Linked DNA regions of Tamandua tetradactyla. The protein of the gene in region 2 interacts with the protein of the main gene of each other region in a biochemical or structural test. Links are inferred from orthologs where the notes say so. Each region holds a gene or a part of one and is shown on either strand. Other genes may lie near its edges. The genes, in order: NSMCE3 and PJA1.

What was found.
Region 1: the proteins of PJA1 (region 2) and NSMCE3 form a complex in vitro, tested with the Homo sapiens proteins (2 studies listed by BioGRID). The link is inferred for Tamandua tetradactyla from reciprocal best matches to the Homo sapiens genes PJA1 and NSMCE3.

The regions. Positions count from the first base shown.
Region 1 is NC_135338.1:81,817,380-81,828,773, forward strand, and holds NSMCE3 (non-structural maintenance of chromosomes element 3 homolog), read right to left. Parts: upstream 4,336-11,394; 5' UTR 4,196-4,335; coding exon 3,338-4,195; 3' UTR 2,883-3,337; downstream 1-2,882. UniProt on the Homo sapiens protein: Component of the SMC5-SMC6 complex, a complex involved in repair of DNA double-strand breaks by homologous recombination. The complex may promote sister chromatid homologous recombination by recruiting the SMC1-SMC3 cohesin complex to double-strand breaks.
Region 2 is NC_135353.1:103,328,647-103,341,858, reverse strand, and holds the start of PJA1 (E3 ubiquitin-protein ligase Praja-1), read right to left. Parts: upstream 4,814-13,212; 5' UTR 4,688-4,813; exon of another isoform or gene 4,637-4,687; intron 2,859-4,636; 5' UTR 2,630-2,858; coding exon 719-2,629; 3' UTR 1-718. UniProt on the Homo sapiens protein: Has E2-dependent E3 ubiquitin-protein ligase activity. Ubiquitinates MAGED1 antigen leading to its subsequent degradation by proteasome. May be involved in protein sorting.

The DNA.
Region 1 (11,394 bases), on a different chromosome or scaffold from region 2:
GCTAAAGATAGAAAGAAATAAACTTAAAAAATACTCTAGTAAGCAAGAGATGCAAATTAATACCATGATCAATTATCACTACTTGCCCACCAGAGTTGGCTGAAAATAAGATACTGAATAAATCAAAGTTTCACAATACAGGGTAGCTAGGGGTTCAGCAAAAAAAAAAAAAAAAAAAAAAGACCTCTATAAAATGATGGGGGAGTGTAAAGTAATACAAGCTCAAGAGCAATTTGGCAATGGCCTACGATTGCTCTATTTGCTTCTGGCTGGAAAATTTTTCATACATGTGCCCAAGGAGGCCTTGTATACTGCCTGCCAATAGCAAAAGATTGGAAAGAAACTAATTGTTTAGCCAAAGATAAACAAAACCATTATTTCCTTTTTTGCTTGTTTTGTTTAATGAAAGAACAACTAAAATGAATGAATTGGGTCTACCTTCATCTACATGGCTAGATTCCAAACAAAACAGTGAGTGAAAAAATGCATGTTGCAAAAGGATATGCACAGTGCATTACCACTTAGATAAGTTGTAAAAACTCACAAAGTAATGCTTTACTTATATCGTTTATGTATACACACATATGAGGTAAAAACCTACAATTATAAAACAGCATGATACCCACAAACTTTTGTTAACTCTGGGAAGGTGAGAATATTGATAATTTTCACCATATTGGTATAAATGCAAGTGTAAAAACACACCAAGTGTAGAAAGCAGTGCCAGTGAAGTACTGATTAGTAGGCAGAACTCTTAGTCAGTAGGTAATTTATACCCTGAAATAAAATGCAAACCAAGAAAAAATGTCTTCAAGGACCAACTATATTCCATTGATGAAATAAATGCAAATCCTAATTCAACAGAATGAAATAAAACACTCTAACTTATCACATCCCTCCATATCCACCATATATTCACCAGAGACAATTCTAAATGGCATTTAGTCCAGTGTTTATCGAGTCCGCATTTTTTTTCCTGAAAATATTTACCTTGGTTCATTTGCAGCACCTTCGCCCCCCCCAACAATTATACCGACTTAATAAAATAATTGGCTGAATCCCTGTAAACAAACAGCATTTTGCTTGATGCTAAGGGGAAATACAGTGAGAAGAAGCTATTTCTCCTGACGGGAGGTTTCTTCTACCTAAAGCTATGTCTCCTGACAGGAGACAGCTGGAAGTGAAAGAGCAAGAGGAAGGACTAACTTTGTGGCGAGGGCTGGTTTGGCTCAACTACCAGCTATTCCCTGTTTAAGGTTCTTTTTCTCCAAGCCAGGCTGTTAGGATTTTCCTAGATCTTTCAGCCAAGATGTTGGAATTTTCCTAGATCCTTTGATACTTGAGGTGACATGGTAAAACTCTATTTTCTTGTTGCAATAAGAATCTAAATAGAATGCACTAAACTAGGTTTTGAATCCAAGTTCTTAGCCTAGTTCTAGTTCTAAGTCCACGTGTCCTAAGCTTCAGTTTCCACAAGTGTTCAAAGAAATGGCTGGGTTAAGAGAGATAATTTAAATCCTTCAAGTGCTAAATTCCGATTTATAAGATACATCATAGTAATAATGTACAAGTGTGGCAATTGTCTTAGTTTACTCTAGAAGGAAGGATGGTGAACATCTATGGAGTTCTACTAGGTACTTTAAAGGTATAATCTCATTTAACCCATAATACAAGCCATGATATAAGTTATTTGTATCATTTTATGAAAAAGGTGAGACTTACAGAGCTTAAAACCTACTCCAAATGACCATGTTGACAAGTTAGCATGAGCCATAATTTAAACTGTCAAATGACCTCAAAACCCATACCCTTTCACTACCCTACGATACCATCTCAAAGCCCTGGTGAGACTTTACTTTGAACTTTCTTGCTCCTACTACTCTCTGTGGGTGCCATATGCCATGTGGTTATGTTTCCATAAAACCACATGATGTTAGGGTGGGCCACGGTGGCTCAGTGGCAGAGTTCTCACCTACCATGCCGGAGGCCTGGGTTTGATTCCTGGTGCCTGTGCATGTAAAAAAAAAAAAAAACAACTACACGATGTCAGCCATAATTTTTGAACCTACTTTTGAATTCCCCTTCTAGGAATGATTTAGCCCAGGATGAAGAAAAAATTTAAGAAAAAAACAAAATCAAGCTCTAAATGAAGGAGAATAAAAATCAAATTTAAAAAATTACGAACAAAGTAACAACTAAAATCCTACAAGCAACTGTGCCAAGTACATGCACTGTCACATGTAATCACTGTTCTAGCACACATGATTTGGCATCATCACTTCCATTTTACAGGTGAGGAAACATCTGTCCCAGATGAAATAACTAACCTAAATTCATATATCCACACCTCCGCATCCTCCTCCAAGTTAGTGGTGGGGCCAGGATATGCATCTAAGCAGTCTGATTCCCAAGCAAGCATGGTTCATTAATAAGCCACTGTTTCATAAACTTTTGGGAGAGCTGCAGCAAAAAATGTTTTACATCACGACCCAATATAAACACACAAATAAAAGTGAAACAACTTCTAAAAAACACTACTTATGATATTATATAAAGTAGCACGAACTATCTTTTCCTTTTTTTTAAGGTGGTGGTTTTGAGTCACAACTTCTCATGACCCACGATTGAAAAAACATACAATGCTTAACTGCTTCAAAAATACATTACTGATTATAACTAAAACCACAAAAAGGAAAAATAAAATGGTCAGCAACAGAACTGAGTAATAAGTATGATTATATAGTAAGATTTTAAAAATTGCTATTCGGAGAAAATAAATTATGTACACTAGTTGGAACCATTCAAAATGTATTCTATAAGAGGAAAATATATAACAATAAAACAGCTGTGTTAAAGCAAAAAAGGATACACCGGCAATTACATTTCATTTTCAATTTATAAAGACACTTATTTTTCTTTACAAACTGGGGTAGTTATGAAGCCAGATAATAGCCATTTTGCTTTTATTTTCTTGGGACAAAAAACAAACAAACAATTCACCGATGTGTTCTTTCTTACAAGTCTGTTCCGGATTATGGTGCAGTTCCCCAGTTACTTTCACAAAGCTGGCAAAAGTTTTATACCAAAAAATACAGACAAATAAAGCATATCAAAACAACCTCACGACGACCACATCCTTCTCTTTGGTATGTGTCGACTTGGAATCAAATAATTAAGAATGTTAAAGGTACAAAACTTTGCAAACAAATCCTAAAGTTAACATACTTCCAAGTGCTACGAAAGATGGCCCACTGTCCCCTCTCCCCCCGTCCCTCAGCACCAGCCTTTGGGCCCGAGGCCCTTCCCCCGGGAAGTCTCCAAAAATCTGTGTATGATTTCAAGAGGAGGGGGCCGGACCACCGGACTCAGGTCTGGCCCTACCAGCCTCTTCTGCTAAAGCCTCACAGTACTGTGCTGGCCAGTCCTTGGGGTCTTGGTTATGGACTTTGGCCACAAACTTAAGCACCTTCATCTTGCTGGTTTCCAGACTGGTACGCGGGCCCCACTGGAACTCATAGTCTATGGGGTCAGTGTGCGGAATCCGCCGGTACTCCAAGTAACGCTGCCTTACGAACTCTTCGGTGATGAGTTTCTTTGGGTCCCCGAAAATCAAATGCTTCTTTGTGGGGTACACCCCTAAGCGACGAAGAAAGTCCCAGACCTCAGTCTCCTTGATGGTGTTGCCCTTCATAAAGATAAGCCCTAAAACGATCATTAGGAGGCCCGTGGTGGGCGTGCCCTGGTCGCCCCGCACCTCCGCATCCTCCTCCACCGGCTCCAGGGTGTTGATGAGGATGTAGCTGTTGCTCTTGGGCTCGAGTTCCACCAGCCTGTACCCGAAGACGTACTCGAGGCGCTCGGCGGCGAGCTTGAGGAGGTCAGAGAAGATGTCCTTGTAGTCTCCGACGACATGCTTCAGGATTTCGGTACGCTTGATCGGAATCTTCTTCTGGTCTTTAATCAGCAGGAACTGCACCAACTCGGCCACCTTCAGCTCTAGCTGCTTCTGCGTGCGGGGCCCCACCGCAGGGGTGGCCTGACTGGCGTGGGTGCCCCTGGGCGAGGCGCTCAGAGTCTCCTGCGAGCTGCCTGTGCCGCGAGAGGTACTCGGAGCCTCCTCCCCGCCGTGGCCCGAGTCCCTTTCCCTCTCGGCCTGGCTGCCAGGACGGCCCCGGATCCTCGGCTTCTGCAGCATGTCATTCGGCGGTGGACTCCCGGCGCCGGCTCGAACTCCGCTCGCGGTAACGGACCGCAGCAGGATCGCGGAAGCCGCCGGAGACGCGAGGCACGCTACGTCACATCTGGGCCTGCGCAAGGCACGTCCCGGGGCGGGGCCAGAGGGGCGCGCCTTACGTCACTGAAAACTCTTGTTACGTTGGCGGAACTTGGGCGTGGCGTTCGTGGCGTCTGCGCGAATGCCGCGCGTCGGCGGGAGAGAAGAGCGCGCGTAGTTGGCTTGCTGTCTGTAGCTCGTTTTTTTGTTTGTTTGTTTTTAAATCATTTTAAGTGCTATCCTTAACAAACCATACAAATAGAGAGCTGGCACCGAAACTCCTAAACTAGTATGCGGCAAGATTCAAGCTGAAACAGGCTCAGGCAAGTTCTATAGAAAGTGAGTATTAAGAGTTTTTACATTGGGACTGTTTCTAAGTGGCGAGAACTCAGAGGATGCATATGGGAGAAAAACAGGGTGAAGAAGAAGGGAAGACTGTAAAAAGTAAAGGAAAAGCATTTATTTCTACAGGGAACGTGGATTTTTTTTAAAAAAGAGGAAAACCCGGAAAACTTCTATTTGGAGACAGTCAGACTTTCCTTCGCCACGCCTTCCCCTAACTATGATCGCCCAGTTAACTTTCGTGTCCCCAAGAGTTTATTTTAAAATGTTTGATGAAGGTAGGTTTTCTTGGCGAGCGGGAATTACCCCTCCTTTTCACTATTTCAGTTTTTGTATTTTCCACATTAAACTGCATCAGCTGGACAGTTCTGACAAAACCGCCACGTACAGCGTGTTTAAATGCGAGGTTTTCGCTTGCTCAAAGCAATTTATCTTTTGGAACCCCTAGGTTCAAGTTCACTGCCTTGGGCCCACAACCACAATTTTAGTTGGAATGGGGTAAGAGGAATGGTACAAACAGAAGCATGCTCTCTCAAGACATTGCCATTTAATTTGGGGTACCACAGATGCTGAATTACAAAAATGTCACTCTGGAATTTCTTAATTCTTAATACAGATCAGCCTTAGAGCTTAAGGAGAAAGAAAAGAGAATCCCGGGCTGTTATCCCTCATAATCTTTGATATGTGCACTTTGTATATATATTTTTAATTGTGCAACTCGAATAGCCCGAAAGAGCTATTTCATTAACTTAAACCATTAGCAGTCTGCTGCTATTACTTAATTAAAATCATACCACCTCGCAAAAGAAAATGAATTTCCCCTCTTTGCCTTTTTGAAGCTACTCTATAAAGTGGGTAAACTGTACAAAAATCTAAATCAAACTGAGTTCTTCTTTAATGCAAAATATATTCAAAGGAAAGCAATTCAGAATATATTTGAATAATAACCTCAAAATAACAACCTTATTAAAATTTCATTAAATGTTAGCATAGACTTTTTGTTTGTAATTCAGTATGAAAATGAAATTTGATAACAGCATTGGAACTGCAATATTAAGTATAAAAGGTATTCCATGTTGTGATACAAGTATGCTACAAATCTGGTAAGCATGGAGTAACAACTTTGTTTTACACAAGGCACAATAACATATCCTCACTTTAATGAAAGACCCACCACCAAGAAAAATAAATACATCATTAATGCCTTCATTTTTTTTTTACAAGAAAAAAAAAATCTTCAAAATTTACTTGGAAATTAAAATTCAGACTCAAGTTCAAAAAACTCCTGCAGTCTATCTAGAATTCTGCAAAAGGTCTCCACAGAATGATCAGTTGTACCTTAAGTTTAAAAATGTCACCAATAAAAAGATAAAGGAACAATGGAAAATAAAAAGTTGAAAGCCATTTTCAACAACTAGTCTGGGGTTTCAGTGTTTTTTAATAAGTTTTATTTAAATTACCAAGCAGCCCCATCCATCTGACTCCCCTGTGACCTTGTGAAAATCAGCAGGGTCCTTCAGTAGCATCCTTACCCAGGCAGCAAATCTTTATTACTTAAAATGGATGAGAAAAGGTAGTAGATTTTAAGTCTTATATATTTGAATGTGGTTGAGGGGGGAAATTTGGAGTTTGTGTATATGTTACTGGAATGAAAATTAAAACAAAAACAAAGTTATATAACATAGTGAACCGTGTTGTATATGATGGACTATAGTTAATAGTACAATTATAAAAACATTCTTTGAATTGTAACAAATTCAAGGTGTTAATAATAGGGTGGTACATGGGAACCCTGATTTTATGCCTGATTTTTCTTTAAGCCCACATCTCTAATTAAAACAAACAAAACAAGCTCTACACTGTCTAGAAGAATGCAGGTGGGAAAATACAAGCATCAAATAGTGTTAGAATTTTAAGCAGTGCATAGAGAGTAACCCAAGCCAACATTCCACCTCAGACTGACATGGGAAACCATGGATGTGTGGGAACAAATTGTGATGACAGTGGTGATAATAATCATCATCACAATAATAAATATAGAGAATGGTAATTGTTCTAGTTTGTTAGCTGCCAGAATGCAATATACCAGAAATGGAATGGCTTTTTAAAAGGGGAATTTAATAAGTTGCTAGTTTACAGTTCTAAGGCCAAGAAAATGTCCCAATTAAAACAAGTCTATAGAAATGTCCAATCAAAGGCATCCAGGGAAAGATACCTTGGTTCAAGAAGGCCAATGAAGTTCAGGGTCTCTCTCTCAAGTGAGATGGCACATGGCGAACACAGTCAGGGCTTCTTTCTCGGCTGGAAGGGCACATGGCGAATACGGTGTCACCTGCTAGCTTTGTCCCCTGGCTTCCTGTTTCATGAAGCTCCCCGGGAGGCATTTTCCTTCTTCATCTCCAAAGGTCGCTGGCTGGTGGACTCTGCTTCGTGGTGCTGCAGCATTCTCTGCTCTCTGACTCTCTCATTCTCCTCTTTTATAGGACTTCAGAAACTAATCAAGACCCACTCAAATGGGTGGAGACATGTCATCCCCTAATCCAGTTTAACAACCACTCTTGACTAAAGCACATCATCCAGGGAGATAATCTCATTACAGTTTCAAACATACAGTATTGAATAGAGATTATTCTACCTTTATGAAATGGGATTTATATTAAAACATGGCTTTTCTTAGGGGGCATACTTCCTTTCAAGCCAGCACAGTAATAATAAATATGAAGAACAACAATGGCTAATGATAATTCAAAAGTAACTGGATCAGACCTTATTCCAAGTGATTTACATGTATTACTTCATTTAATTTTGCAACAAATATATAAGGCATGTGCGTTTATTGTATTCCTCTTCTCACAAATGAAGAAACTGAGGCCCAGAGAAGATATATAAGGGGTTTGCAGCCCCACAGCAATTAAGTGGTAGATCCGGGATCTGGGATCTGAATTAGGCAGTCTGCTTCCAGAGCCTGTGCTCTTAACCATATGTTGATATGCAGAAAACACACCTGGTGTCTTTGCAAGAGTAAGGGCTTTGGAATCAGATGGTCCTAGATTAGAAACATTTAAGACATTCAGAAAGCTACTGATACTCCAGATTTAGAGTTCTGATCCTGGCCTTGGGAACTAAGTAAGAAAGGTCTGCCAAGCACCAAGGACAGCCTGGCAGTGTAGTCAATACATATTTGAGGGTTACACAAAGTGATATAGAGAAAGATACTACAGTTAAAAATGTGCTCATACAAAAATCAAAAAACGTCTGGGAAAAACAAGTTCCTATTAAAATTATTTTCTCTTAAAAATAAATTCAATATAGGTTGTCTTGCTTGGGAAATAAATGTAAATATATTCTCAACAAAGCTTAACTTTTCTTGACATCATGCCATAACAGTTATACACATTCAAATTTTCAGTCAGTTTGATGTGGTTTGAATGTCATTTGTGACTTTTTGTTTAGGTAGTGAAGGAAAGAGATGTTAAAAAAGAAATACATTTTCAAACACTTTCTGCTAATAATCTTCATACTTTGAGGCAAAAACTAAGCTAGGTAAGATTTCAAATGCATTGAACAAAGAAATACCTACCACCAATAATTCTTTAGAGGTCTCTAATTAAATGCTTTATTTCATCTCCTTGGTAGCAAATGCCTGCTAAGAAAGTACTCATCCTTATTCTCTACAGAATTTTCCTCATCATTCGCTGGTATTTCTCACAGGATCCAAGAAAGGTTTTAACTTTTCTAACAGGCAACCTAGTGCTAAAAGTAGGTGAGGACTTTTGGGGGAAGAAAGGCAATGATAAAATCATATAATAGGGGCAGGCCATGGTGGCTCAGCAGGCAAAGTTGTCACCTGCCATGCGGGTGCTTGCCCATGCAAAAATAAGTATGTGGCTATCATATGTGAGCAACTTCCCTGACTTTTCCAGTGAAAGAAAGTGGAACAACAAACATGGAGCATATGAACAAGGGACTTGGGGACAAAGATTATTTTAGTGGGTAAATAGGGAAAACAATACAAATATTTTAATGTTGGCAATACAATCTCTTGTTTGTGCTTACTATTTGTAGCAAAGATCCTTCCTACTTAGATGACATGATAAACTGCCTAATAACATTTTGCCCGTCATGAAATTAAGCATTTCTAAACAGAAGCAGAGCTTTCCTTGGCTGGTGGAAGGGATGGGGCGTTGGGGCTAGATTATTGCTTTCCAAAAGCATTGTAACCATTTAGTACAAAAAGCTCTTCTTAAGAAAATGATTAAGTTCTATTAGAAAATTCCAAAGCTAACTCAAAGAGGACCTAATAGATGAAGAGACATTTCTCATGCTGCCATCTGAATCTCTGGATCCAGAGTTCAAGGTTGGACTGTAAGGATAACTAGTTACTGGAGCTAGTAAAATCTCCTTTTGCTTAAACTGCATAGAGTTGATTCCTCTTACTTGAAACTGAAAAATTTGTGGCTAAATTGGTATCCAAACCAATTAGGTAGGGAGAAAAAGTATACTATGGAATGAGAATTTATTTCACATAAATGGAGCTGGACAAGGTAAATATTACCTGTAAGCACACTTGTATGTAATTAAATTGATCTGAATACAAAATAATTTTTAAGTTTCTTGGCAGTGTTCTGTGGTTGAGGAAGTGCTTATGTACCTTTTAAGTAGCTGGCAATAAAGGCAGGAGAGAGATCATGAATGGCTGTGCTTTTTCATACAGACTGTACATATGACCTAATCCCCACAGAAAGGAATTTCAGAACATTAGAACCTACTTTAAAGCATCTGCTAATCTAGAGTAGCTGTTTTCTCCATATTTGACCTAAAGCATTTCCCTACTGGCTGCACTATGAAAGTTGACAGAATCGTCTCTCTTTTAGACTCCACATTATTAGCTTAGAGTAGAGGTATGTGTACCCAGAGGACAGGGGCACCAAGGAGGAGCTGTAGAAGAGAAAGGCATACAGGGTTTCTTCCTCCTGCAAGTGAGAGTTTAGGTTCCTGATGAGAAGAGGACTTGTCCCTTCCCCAAGCCTCGAAAAACCCAGCATTTTGTGGTATTTGTGGGGTAACAGCTAGCAGAAGCCTATATATCCCTTCTGAGAAACTTAATAGTTGGCTTCCTGATAAGGATACTCCTCCAGGAACCTATCTCAGGCTGTTGACCAATTGCTCTCAGAGGGAGCCTCACAGGAAGGTCAAATGCTGCTAGGCCTTGAGGTTTGGAGTCACCAGTTTACCCCCCTCTGAGACCTGGTAGACTCCAAGAAGCTTCTTCATAGTGCCTCAGCAGATGTGTATATAGTGTGCCCTTTGATTCACTGTGGCCCTTAGAGCAAAATCTTCCATGCCAGAAACTGCAGTTCTCCTACCACTTGCCATTCTAATACTTTCCCAATGATTCCAACAATGTAACCTACAGAGAAATGAAGTACAAAACCCTTGACAGGTGAATAAGAAAAAAATTACATTTATTAAAGTTGACCCACGAGTTTGAAGAAACAATAAAATGGACAAGACTTTAGCTAGAGTGACCAAGAAAGAAAGAATATTCAAGTTAATAAAATCAGGAATGAAAGAGGGGACATCAAATTGACCCTACAGAAATAAAAAAAATAAAAAAAAAAACAATTATAAGGGAATGCTTGGAGCCATATACCAACAAATTAGATAAATTGAAAGAAAGTAAAAGTTACTGGAAATACATTTTAATGAAACTTGTTCTAGAAGAAATAAAATCTGAATAGAACTATAACAAAGAGATTAAATTAGTACTATTAAAATTTCCCCCAAAGGAAAAAACCTAAGCCCACGTGAATTTCTTGGTGAGTTCTACCACATAGTTAACACCACCCCTTTAAAAACTCTTCCAGAAAATTGAAGATGAAAAAAAAATATTCCAACACTTTCTGTGAGTTGAGGATGATCTTGTTACCAAAACTAGAAAAAAATATCACAGTAAACAGCAGACCAATATCCTTTATGAATACAAAGGCAAAAATCCTCACCAAAATAATAACAAATCAAACCCAACAAAATATAAAAAGAATTATTATACACCATTAGCAATGGGATTTATTTCAGGAATTCAAGATTATAAATGTTGAAAATAAAAAAAAATAAGTAATGCTGAAAACACTTCAAAAGATAGGAATACAAGGGAACTTCCTTAAAATGATAGAGGGAATATATGAAAAACCCACAGCTAATATCATCCTCAATGGGGAAAAATTGAAAACTTTCCCCCTAAGATCAGGAACAAGACAAGGATGTCCACTATCACCACTATTATTCAACATTGTGTTGGAAGTTCTAGCCAGAGCAATTAGGCAAGAAAAAGAAATACAAGGCATCAAAATTGGAAAGGAAGAAGTAAAACTATCACTGTTTGCAGACGATATGATACTATATGTAGAAAACCCAGAAAAATCCACAACAAAATTACTAGAGCTAATAAATGAGTACAGCAAAGTAGCAGGCTACAAGATCAACATTCAAAAATCTGTAGCTTTTCTATACACTAGTAATGAACAAGCTGAGGCGGAAATCAAGAAACGAATCCCATTTACAATCGCAACTAAAAGAATAAAATACCTAGGAATAAATTTAACCAAAGAGACAAAAAACCTATATAAAGAAAACTACAAAAAACTGTTACAAGAAATCACAGAAGACCTAAATAGATGGAAGGGCATACCGTGTTCATGGATTGGAAGACTAAATATAGTTAAGATGTCAATCCTACCTAAATTGATTTACAGATTCAATGCAATACCAATCAAAAT
Region 2 (13,212 bases):
TTCTTCCCTTAGGCAGGGTATTCTCTCTCCACCCTTTTCCTTGGTAGTAGTTTGACAACCAGACACTTGATTTCTACTTTTAAAAATGATTACCTTTTTTTTTTTTGCTGCTGTTATTGGAATCAACACTCTCAATGAAAGGAAAGGTTTTCTTCTGTCAGGAACACCAAAAGCTTCTACTTTTTATGCAAATGCAAGGGCTTAATCATGAAATCACTTAGTCCCACTGTTTTAGACAAAACCAAACAATTCCATTATACCATGTAAAACCAAAAGGAGAACTTTAATAAGCTTTTACCACACTGCAATTACAGGAATGTTAACCCATAACATGCAACAAAAATGATTATGTCTTTTGGACATATTTAACAGAGAAACTTGACAATACAGTTAACAGCAACTTCAGCATCCTACTGAAGAAAAGAAATGCAACTTATTGCAACTTTCAGGTTAGAAAATTTATGTACTTTAATGCAATCTCAAGTAGCATTTAGAAAGTTTAGTTTTCTCTTTTTTAACCTCTAAAAGACAGTGTGATTTTTTTAATGCAATCATACACAACAATTTTCACATTGGAAATGATCACAAGGAATCAACAGACTTGGCTTAATTGACTGATTGGTTTCTCATCTCAATTGTTAATTTTGAGAGGGCTCCTGCAGTATTGTGGATTTTGCATGGGGAAAATGATCAGACCAGGAGTAAATCACCTTGGTCTTTAGAGTGGAGGAGGGAACATGCAGCGGCACACGGGGCAGGTGCCTGACTTCTGAAGCCAAATGGACACACAAGGCTTGTGGAAATAGTGGTGGCATGGCAGCTCTGTCGCCACCTCCCCCTTCACATATTCACTGCAACAAATCGGGCAACACATTTCCTGACCCACCGCGCTGTGATCCTCGGTGACCAGGATCTCGGGCAGACTATCGATGCTCTCCTTGCTCGCAGGCGGATTGGCCACCTCCACGTCCACGGCGAGGGACTCCAGGTGTGCAAGGGCAGTCTCCATCGCCTGAGCCAGGCGTTCTTCAAGTGCCATGTAGGTGAGGAACTGGGGATCCACATAGGAAATGGCTTCAGCCACTCCTAGTCCATCCGCGAATCCATCAAAGAGGCTCCAATCCACTTCTAGGTCTTCGCTGACACTGGAGTCATCTTCCAGGTTGTTATTTCCATCCAGCATGAACACCCCAGGTTGCATAAACTCATGACCAGACTCATTATCCCCCTCGCTGCTGCTCTCATTTTCATTGTACTGGAGCCAAGGGATTTCTCCCTCTTCCAGGGATGCCTGCTCCTCCTCCTGAAGAGAGGGCTCTCGAACTTCTTCCAGGTAATTGCCGCCATTGCTGCGAGCGCTGGCACCAGCCACAGGGCTGGCACTGCCACTGGCCTTGGCTCCAAGTTGCTCGGGCTCATGCTCTTCCTTTCCTGGTAACGTCTCCCAGCTTTCGCCACTGGAGGACAGGTTTTGTTCTTGCCCTCGATACTTGCGACGCAAAGCAGCGGTCCACTCTTTGTCACTGTCGGAGTCTTCGTCGCAGTACCTATAGTAATCATCACTGTAGGTCCAGAAGTCAGGGTCAGCCATGGTGCGCCGTCGTCTTGGCACCTTCTCTGGTTTCACTTGGTCACTCCTTGCTTCTCTCTTTTCTTCAGGGTATTTTGGCCCAGGGTAGCCACTTGAACTTTCGCCTCTGCCTCTTCTCACTAGGCCATCGGAGGGGACTTCATCAGTGGTGGCCATGTCCCTCCATCTGGAAGTACTGTGTGGCATATCATCATCATCATCATCAGTATCAAAAAATATTTTTGGTTTCACGCAGTTTGGGCTTGCCATATTTCTGATTTTAGGCCTTACCACTGGTTCCTCTGAACCTTTCAGGGTGTTGTCCCCACCACCACAAATACTCACAGGAGCCCTGCCAGGACGCTCTGGTAAATTCTGCTTCTGTCTCTCCCTCCCCAGGCTGTCACCAGTCATAGTCACCTTGCCTTTGGCAGAAGATGTCTGCAAGGCCCTGCTACTTTGCTGTACTAACTCAGCTCTGCCAGTAGAGCCTCTTGCTGCAGGGGCTGGGTCTAACTTGTTAAGCTCCTCTCTCACGTCATGCTTAAAACTAGAGAACTGTAGTGGCACCCCAGCCAAAGACCTCGCCCCTTTCTCCAGGTCATATAACTTATCCTCTTTGAACTTGCCAGTTTTCCCTCTCACTGGCAGTCGCTCAACAGGCCCAGCCCCCTCCTCCTCACTATCATCCGCCCCGTAAAAGTCAATATGTCCATAAGCCATGGGCCTCCTGCCACCCGAAGCCCTAAACTCTCTGGGCGGATACCTGGAATAGTCCTCATTATCAACATTCAGACTGCTTCCCGAGCTCTCACTGTCGTCCCAACTACGACGAGTGGTGGAAAACGGTGACCGGCTCCTCTTGGTGGTTTGACTGGGGGCGGATCTGTGCATTGGGACTTCGGAGGTTGTCTTTCTCTGGCCGGAAATCCTGTGCTGCTGGCTCGTGGAAGGCCTGAAACTGACATAAGCATGCCTTCTTCCATACCTCCTGCCTGTATTGGACTGATACCCTCCTGCTGGTTTGGGCCAGACAGGCTTGCTAGATTCCTGACCCATCGCTCTGACTTAGGAAGGTTTCCAACACAGCTGGGGCTCAGGTGCCAAGGGTCCTGGCTCCCTGCACACGCTTTGGAGATGGGAAAGTCAAATCAGTTCAGAATAAAGGAGCAGGGAGATTTATTTTCACTTCAGCAGGCAGGTAACAGAAAGAATAAGGGGCCTTTAAAATTAGTTTCACTTTCTTCTAAGGCCTGGAGTAGCATTCCAGTGACTGTCAGGTGTAGACCTGGAACACATTTTTAATGTTGGCAAAATGATTACAAAACTGTGCTTGTAGGAGAGTCAGACTTAAGGGAGAATCTGACAGAAGGTGGGGGGTGACCGGACGCTCAGAAGGTGGGTGAAGCACTTTGGAACTGCACCAATGTGGGAAGAGGAAAGACTGCTGTGGGTTTTTTTATGGAGTGCCTGCATTTTTCAGAGCCCCACAGATACACAGAAGAAATGCAAATTGGCAGAGAGTGGAAACTATGGATCATCGCATGTGTGTGCGTGCATACATGTCTGTCAGAAGGAGAGGGGCAGGTGGAAGGGGGACCAGTCATCCTGCAGTGGGGAGATGTCTGGGTTTATAGGGGGAGAGGTAGATCACAGCGGAACCAGGAGGGGATATAAGTGTTTGAATGAGATCCTTCTGGGTCTAAGTGTGAAAATGACAGGTATGGATGGGTGGGATGGCTTCAGAGGACAGAGGTGCATATGAGAAAAAGAGAACGTGTATGTGGAGTTATATGAGTGGCAGGTAAAAATCTGTGGAGGGGTGCCTGTGTTTATGTGCATGTGGCAGGCAGGGGAGGGTATGGTGGCACTGGAGAATGGTGTCTGTGAGTTTGTGTGTGCATCAAAATGGTAGGCAGACATGGGGCAATATCAGTGTGAGCAAATGTTGTGGGCCGTGGGGCTGATGGGGGGCAGTAAGCAGCAGTGGAGAAGGACGTGTGTGTGGAACAAGGGCCAGAAATGAAAGAATGTCTGGATGTGAGAATATGGTAATATGTACTTGGAGAAGAATTTGTATGAGTGTGAGTTTGAGTGTGCGTGGCCATGGGGACTGGCAAAAGGAGCACATGTGGCAGACAGGGAGCAGGAGTGGGGAGCACTTGAGGGATATGTGTGTGTGTATATGTCTCGCAGGCAGGGAGAAGGAGAGGGTGTGTGTGTTGGCCAGAGCATGCAGAGGGAGGGGGGCCTGTCTTGGAGGTGTGTATGTGGCAGGCAGTGTTGGGGGGGGAAGAACTGGAGGGGGTGAGGGTGTGTGTGTGCCGGCACACACATGGGGGCTGGGACAGCGCTGGGATCTTGAGGGTGCTGGTGGGAAAGGGGATGCACAGGAGGGCATATGAGAATGAACGGAAGGAGGTGGGGGATGGAGGGTGCAGGGAGGACAGGGAGAGAGGGTGGGAGGCGAAGGGGGCCGCAATGTCATAATGAGAGACAGGAAAGTGTCATCAGCTCAAACAGCAGCCCCAAACCTATGTGGCAGGGAAGGGTGAGTTGGGGTAGAAAAGGAGCCGGGTATAGTTTTTCCCTGGGAATATATATCTTTTTTTCCTGACAATTCTCTTCCCGGGAACAACATTGTTACCTACTAGCAACCTTAACCATTTACCATTCAGCAAAACAACGGCAAAATGCGGGAAGGCAGGCCGTGGGGTGTTCCACAAAGGGACTGAGGAAGGAGAAGGGGAGAAGTGGGGTTGAGGGTGGGGGTGGGGGGAGAGCGGCAGAGGGAAAAGGGAGAGGGCCGCGACCACCACTCCCTCCTCGAACAGCAATTCAAGCCATTCGAGTGCGCGGCCGCGTCACCCGCAGGAGGTCGGCCACAGAGGTTGAAACCCCCTCTTCGGGAGGAGGGAGGGCCGAGGACTCTGCAGGCAGGTCCCGTGCCCGCGCCCGCTCCACCCCTTCCCGAGGGGCGAACCCGAAAATCCCTTAACGAGAACCCCCCGCCTCCTGCAAATCGTTGCCTTTCCTCCCACGCCCCCTCCACGCCCGGCCACTCACCCCACCGCCAGGGTCTGGAGGACCCGAGGAAATAAGCCGCCTCGCACTCACCCACTCCGGGCGCTCGCACGGTCTTCGGTGGAGCAGATACCTTGAACCTCCGACCGCCACGACCGTCAGAGCTGCTGCTCCCGGGTCTCCAGCTCCGCCCCCGCCAGACAGCGGAAGTGATCGTGACGTAGGCTGGGATCCGCCCCCTGGATGTGGCGGGGGCGGCAGCTGCTCGCGACAAATCAGGCCCGGCGTGAGAGCATTATTTCATTTTAAATGATAAAATCGTCAAGGATACAGAAAAGGGACAGGGGAAAATGTAGCCAACAGTCAGATAGAACAAATGTGAAACATTTAGCGGACAGACCCTTCTGTTCTGGGTTTGTTTGAATATAAAATGAAATCTGCAAATTTTCTCCCACTGACTCCAATGAGAAAGAAATCATATTAATATAAGCATATTCCCATAGTCTATGTACTGGTTTGGACTGGAAATATTTAAAATGCAATTTCAGCAAACAGTGTTGCAGTAAGCTTAGATTTTTTTTTTAACTTGATGGGGGAGGCAAATTGAAGCTGTGTAGGATAGAATTTGTTGCTGTGAATCACAAAAATCAGGCCTCGCTAGCTAAGAGAGATGGTCAATCAGGAAGCACAAAACGGGTTCACATCCCGGTAGCTGCATTGCACTTAAAACATACTGTATAGTTAGTGGGAAATGGGGACTGACTGCTTAATGAATACAGGATTTTCTTCTGGGGTGATGAAAATGCTTTGGTACTAGATAGAGTTGGTAGTTGCACAGCATTGTGAATGTGTTAAATACCGCCGAGTTGTACACTTTGAAGTGGTTACTTTTGCGTGATGTAAAACTTCACCTCCAGACAAAACGAAAAAAAAATGTAGTTGTCCCTTTCGGAGTTATACCTCAGAACTTTTTCTTACTTGTACTTTATAATGGAACTCTAATATTTGCATCGAATGTGAATACTTCCAATGTTGAGCATAGTTGTAAAATTTTGTTCTTCCTGGAAGTAAAATGCGTAAAACTTGCAAACCATTAGAATAACAATACGTGGAACAAAGACAAAAACTCAGTCTAACAAAGGACAGGATATGAGGGGATCAAAAAGAAAATACATAAAAAGAGAACAAAAAAGCAGGAATAAATCCAAATAAATTTATTACAATTAAATAATGTATTTAAATGGTGTATTACGGATTAACGTCTGTTAAAAAGCAAACGCATGTTTCAAGCATTTCATTTAGAAAAAAAACAGCTATATGCTGTTCATATGACTATCATCCACAACAGAAACAGAACTGGAAAATATATACCAGTTAAAGATTAGAGGGAGAGATGGAAGGAGGGGAGGGAAGGAAGAAGGAATGGGTGACTTGTACCAACGTTGACATCAGAAAAATTAAGAATTCAAAGTAAAAAGCATTAAAGAGAAACAGACAGGTTGTTTCACTCACCAAGAAGACATGACAGTCACCAAAAATGTGTGTACCAAACAACATAGCTTCAAAATGTATGAAGCAAATACCGTTAGAAATATAAGGAGAGATCTGGAAGTCTGCCAGTACAGTGGGAGACTTTAACCACACCTCTCTGGTATAGGTACATCAAATAGACTGAAAAGTAAATAACGACATAGAGAAATTGAACAATACAATAAGCCTGATCAAATGTATATGTATTTTTGCACTCAAGAAAGGATAAATTTTATTTTATGAAAAAATTTTAAATATTTCAAACATAAAAAAGTACAGAGGGTAAAGGACACATATTCCTGTACCTGACATATAGATTGAGCAAATAGTTTTTCTTTCAGATCCTCAGACCCTTCTTGCATAGCTCCATGTGCCCCAATGGGAGAATTTCTCTAGAGCAGAGAGTCCTAAAAGGGTTATGAGTGTTTTGATATATTGATTCCCTAGGGCTTGGCCAACTACTGCCCAGCTGTTCATCCCAGTGAATTTGTACAAATATTAGCATTTTAAAAATATGAGCTCTGATGTGCAAAGGATTGGGAAAAAAACTGCTCTAGTGCATGTTTATTATAGTAGAAATTCTCATCAAAGCATATGTAGTAGTTATCTATTGCAGTATAACAAATTGTCCCAAGCTTAGTATTAAAACAATAAGCATTTATTATCTCACAGGTCCTGTGGGTCAGAAACCCAGATGTGGCTTAGCTGGGTGCCTCTGGCTCAAGGTCTCTCAAGAGGTTGCAGTCAAGTCACCAGCGAGGGTTGCAAGCTCATATGAAGGTTTAACTGGGCTGGGTGGGAGGTCCACATTCAAGATCTTTTACATGGATATTGGCAGACCTCAAAAGATCTCCTTTCAAGCTTGCTTGTGTAATTGCTGTCACACGCCAATTCCTTACCATGTGGGCCTTACCCAGGCTTCCTGGGTTTCCTAACAACATGGCAGCCAATGAGAAAGTGAGAGTCAAAGAAAGAAGCCACAGTCTTTTTACAACCGAAGCTTGAAAGTTATATCCCATCACTTTTGCTATACTGTATTCATTAAATGTATGTCACTAGATCCAGCCCACACTGAAAAGGAGGAGATTCCACAAGGGTATGAATACCAAGAGGTAGGAATCCTTGGGATGAGCCAGGGGTAGGGGGTGGGGGCATTTTCAACTTCAATAGATATCACCAATTTGCTTTCTAAGTGGCTATACCAATTTACATTCCCAGCTACAGTTTATTCACATCAATGTTTCCCCATGTCCCAACACTCTTGGTGGGTTCACAGTTTAAAATTGTTGCCAACCCAATGAATACAGGACATTGTTGTTTGACTTTGTTTTTCCCTAAATTACTTTTATTTCCAAGCAGCCAAGTATCTCTTTGTGCTTGTTGACCATTTAGATTTCTTCTTTTCCAGATTGTTGGTTCATACCCTTTGTCCATTCTTCTATTAAGGTTCTTTTGGTTATTATTGATTTCTAGGGATTCTTTATATATTATGAATATCAAATGTCAGTTATATTTGTACAATTGCAAATATCTTCTCCTAGTCAGTGTTTTCTTTAAATGTTAATATGAAATTATAAAAGTACTTAAATACGGTGATGAATGTACAACTACATGATGAGACTGTGAACCACTGATTGTACAGTGTGGATAAACTGTATGACTTGAATGTATCTGAATAAAACTGCTTTTTAAAAAAATTATTTAAACAATCCGTGACAGTATGTTTTTTTTATAACCCAGGAATGTAGAAGACCTTTACAAGTTTGACAAAATACATGGAAGGAAAAAAAAAATAAAAGATTCAACTACATATAAATAAAATGTTCTGACAGGCAAAATAAAATCCTGAGTAAAGTCAAAGACAAATGAAAAACCGGAAAAAATATTTGCTGCTCATTTCATAGACAGAGGGCTAATTTCCCAAAATGCATGAAGAACTCTTACAAATCAATAAGAACCTTACAAACCAATTTAAAATTGAGCAAAGAAATTGAATGGTCGGTATCATGAAAAGGAAATACAAACAGCACTTAAATGCATGACAATGTTCAGACTCACTCACAAAAATACGAGACACTAATTACCTCTATCAGACTGACCATGATAATGTTTGAAAAAGTTTGATAAAGCACTGCGCTGTCGAGAGTGGGAAACAATGGGCACTCTCAAACAATGCGGGTAGGAAAATAAATAGGTAGAACCTTCATACTTAGGCAAGTTGGCAATATCTATCAAAACTACCAATGCACACACTTTTGACCCAGAAAATCTATTTCAACAATTCTATTATACAGATATACTTGTACATGATGGAAATGAAATACATGCATGTATATTCATGGCAGCATTGGTTTTTAATCATAAAAAATTAGACGGAACCTACGTGGTTATCAAAAGGGGCATGGACAATTAAGTTACAATAGAATCCTTACTAGAGAGCAGCTTAGATGCAGAATCTGAATCTACATGTATTGCAATGGAGAAATCTGGAAAACCATATTGAGTGAAAAAAAATACAGGTTGTAAGAGAATACGTATGTTATAGCACCATTTATATATGCTTTTAAAACACATACAGTGAGTGTAGGGTCAAGACTGTGCTGTCTTCTCGAAAACTTGCTCATGTTTTCACTAAATAATGTCTTCCTTTATCTCTAATAATGCTTTTGTTGTTAAGGTCAGTCTTGTCAGTAATACTGCTACCAAGATTACTTTTCTTTTTTTTTCTTTAGCACCTTATTTTTGAAGAGCAATTTTGGTTTCCAGAAAAAGTGAGCAGAAAGTATAGAGAGCTCCCATATACCCCCTCTCCCTTTCCAAAGTTTCCTGGTCACAGCTGGAGCTTTGACTCTGGCTCGGGTCTTCACTGACCTCTGCTTGGCATCTCTAGTGGGTGCTCCTGGCTGCAAGGGTTGGGGGAGTGGGGGTGGGCAGGTGAGCCAGTGGATATGTTTCAGCAAAATGCACCCAGGAGCCAGGTGTTTGGACATGGATGTGAACCCACTCCCCCTTGCCCTGTATCACTCCCCTGTGGAGCCTGAGTGGAGGTGCTGTGCTCCCAGATCAAACTGAGAGGAGTTGCCATTAAGAGAGGTTCAAGCAGCCTGCAGCTCAGAGGCCTCCTCCTTTATCTCCCACAACCCTTTTTTTAATTATTGTGAAACATAACATATATACAAAAAAGATATAAATTTCAAAGTACATTTTAACAAGTAGCTATAGAACGGATTTCAAAGTATGGTAGAGGTTACAGATCCACAATTTCAAGATTTTTCTTCTAGCTGCTCTAAGACACTGGAGACTAAAAAGAAATATCCCCAGGAGGCCAGAAACACCAGTCTGCCTTGGGCCAGAGTGAAAACCCTGTTTGTTTGTTGTTTTTTGCTTTTTTTTTTTTACTGTGAAATATAACATATAAACAAAAAAAGCAATAAATTTCCATATACATTTTAGCAGTTCATTATAGAACACATTTCAAAGTTTGGTATGGGTTACAGTTCCACTATTTCGGGTTTTTCCTTCTAGCTGCTTCAAGACACTGGAGATTAAAAAGAAAGATCAATATAATGATCCAATAGTCATACTCATTTGTTAAATTCCAACTTCTCTGTTAAAACTCTTCCTTCTTTGATTCCTCTCCCAATCTTTAGGAATATTTGGGTTATGCGCATTTTCACTATTCTCATGTTGAAAAGGGGTGTTGACAGTATAGGGTAGGGGTATGGAACTGGTTGATGTTCTTGGAGATACTGGCACCTCTTCCAATCCTCTTGGCACTGCCTCGTCCAGCTGGATGGTGCCCCATGCTGCCCAGCCCCTTTGCCCCATGTCCTGCCTTCCCACAGGCCCTGAAACCACCTGTCTCCTCCTCCTTCCTTCTGATTTCCCTTCCTTCATCTTTTCCCCTGGCTTGGTTTCCCACGGTGTGCCTCCTGCTGAGTTTCAGGGATTAGGACTGTCTACTGTGTGCCACAGTTCCCTTCTCTTCTCTCCATAGCCAAGGAGATTCTTACCAAGATCTGATCCCAGCCTCACCCCCAAAGTTCTCTGGCAGGAATTAGACAGGACACGGAGATGGCTGAGGAAGCAGGGCTGGAGGGGCAAACCCAGAGTGTGGGGAGTGGTCAAACATTTGTCAGACACCTACTGTATAGGCCAGGTACCTGACATCTGCTCTCTTATTACTTAATCTTCATGGCTACCTGCTGAGGTAGCTCAGAGATCTTAAGGGATTTGTCCAAGGCTACTCAGCTAGAAGTGGCAGAGCTGGAATTAGGAGCCAGGACTGTTGACTCCAAAACCACACTTTTCCTTCTGCTCCAGGCTGCATCTGGTCTGAGGTGAGTGGAGTGGGGTGGCTACAGTTCCTGCCTAAAAGGGAGGCTGTGCCAGGCAGGGGGTTCCCTGGCAGAGGCCTAGAGGAACTTACTGGCTCCCTGTGCTTGGACATTCTGTGGGCTGAGTGGATGGTGAGGGATAACTGGGACATGGAAGCAGAGAGGCAGGTTCTCCTTACCCTCTTTCCATTGGGCATCCCCTCTTCCCTTAGTGCTTCTTTGCTTCTGTCAACCTCTGGAGAGAAGGGAGTCAGCTGACAGTGTTGGGGAGATGGCAGGGAATGGAAGAAGGCAGGGTCCAAAGGCAAGGACACAAGTTGGTTCACAGGCAAGAACCTGGGTGGATCTCTTCCCCTCTCCAAATCTTACCGTTCCTATCTTGGCAGTGGAGAGGTGGTACTAGCCTATGCAAACTCTGCCAGTCTGTGTGTGGTGGGACCTGCCTGGGCAGGGAAGTGCTGTGGCCATGTCAGCTGGAAGAGCATTGCTCACAGAACATGATGGGGGAGTGGCAAGGGCAGGAGCTGGGGTAAGGTTGGAAGGCACATCAACATCTGGCACAGGAATAGCTGCATTTGGCCCTGCCTCGGATCTAAACCCTACCTCTGGTTGCCCCCTTCACAACAGAAGGGTGGAAGATACACAAATGGGGAGCTGAGATTATGGAAAATGAGCCCCTTTGAAAAGAGGAACACCAGAGGAAGTGCAAAAGGCAAGATGGAGCTGTAAACACTTCTGGTTGTCCCCAACAGAGAGAAGAAATGGCACCTGCAAAAAAAAGAGGCCCACCTTTAGACTTCTTCAGAGGTACAGGGTATGGAGTAGCTTCTTCAATTAGGTTCTACCTCCAGGCCTGATAACTCTGCTGCTCTGAACCAAGCCCCTTAAGCCCCTGCCTCAGGCAACGAGTTTGAGTTCTAACGTGCTGATCAGCTGGTGGGGAGTCAGAGTAATATTGGGGACTTTAGGGGTCATTCTTGGCTTGAATGCAAACTCCTTACCATGACCTAGAGGCTTACAGTGATTGGTGTCTTGCCCACCTTTCCAGCCTCATCTCTTCCCACCTTTGTGCCTCCCTGCTCCAATTTCCACTGACCTTCTTTCCATGTCTGGAATACAACAAACTCCCTCTTGCTTCAGCACCTTCATACCTGTTGTTCACCATACTTGGAATGCAGTCCCCTCATTTCTTTGCTGGCTAACTCTTCCTTCTGATCTTATCAGAAATGCCACCTCTTCCAGGAAGTCTTCCAGACCCCTTAGCCAAGACCAGCTCCTACTCCTTCTCTGAACTACTCTTATAACCTCACAACCATCACAATAGCAATTATTCCTGACACGATATTTTATCCCATCTGTCTCCCCTTCCAAATTACTATAAACGCCACAAGAACAGCCGCCTTGTTTATCTTGTTTATAGTTCTACTCCTAGGGTCCAGCATGGTGCCTAGGAAATTTTCAGCCAATAAATCCTAGCAGTTTCCATGCATTGGAGACCTACTGGGGGCCAGGCTCAGACATACAGGATCTTGTTCAGTCCTTGTGTCGCACTCCCCATTCTCATTTCTTAGGAGAGGAAATGGAGAGGCAGACAGGTGACGAGTTTTGCCCTGGAATAGCCATCTGGGCCATGCCGAGCTGGACCCCACCAGCAGGTCTGCCTGCTTCGCACCTCCTCTTTTGCGCTTCAGAGAGGAGCAGCAGCTGTGGCCTCTCCTCGGGTTCCCATAGCAACCACTGCTTACCTCCCGCTCACACTGGTTCCTAATTGCCTGATTACGCAGCTTCTCCCCCGCCAGCTCAGGAGCTTCTTGAGAGCAGGGTCCATGGTGGGCTTTGCTCACCATTGCATGGCTCCAGGCTCAGTGAGTATTAGTTAAATGAACAAAAAAGAAAAAAGAAAAAAGAATACATGACCATCCATGCGCATGGATTTTTAAGAGCTTTCATTGCAAACAAGACACTTAGCAGCCTGTAGTGGCTGGAGGTGTGTATGTGTGTGTGTGTTGGGGGGGGGTGGTTTGAGGAGCTGATGCTCCTGAGCTCACCTCTGCTGAGTGGTGTGGGTGGCCAGCCCCCCCTTCTCCTCTCTCCCCTGCTGCTGGGGAAAGAAGCTCTTTAGAAAACAGGCAAGGCAGCCTGCATGGTAGCGGCTGTTGGTGGCAGGGAGAGTTGGAGAAGCACTGGAACCCTCCCCCAGTGGTCGCCCCCCACCCCTCCCCATGCACATGCAGACGCATGCACAAACTTCCTCACCAACTCTTTCTGATGGAAGCCATCTCAAATGCCAGCTTTGGCTTGAGAATTAATGGTGTTTCATTGCCACTTCTAATGCTCAGTTCACAATCTCATCCCCTAGCCCCTCCTCTCTCTGTTCCCTCTGCAACCATCTTAATTCAGCTCACCATCTTCCACCTGACCTGCTTCAACAGTCACCTCCCCAGGCCCCTGACTCATGACTGATGCCCCTCCTTCTTCCTCCCAATCTTCTATGGCACAGGCAGAATGAGGACCCCAAATTGTTCCATTTGTACCCTGTCAGACTCACAAGGGAGGCAGGTGCTGGTGTCATTTTTGTGGTATGACAAGAGTCTTTCCAAGCCACTGAAGCAGCCAGAGGGAGAGAAGGCCAGAGCTACTACTCCATTAGTTTAAATCCTTAAATGTCTGCTGGGTGCTGACTCTGGGTCACAGGTTCTGAGCTCATAGGGATGGGACTGACATGAGCTTCTCCCCTAGTCAGACAGGAAA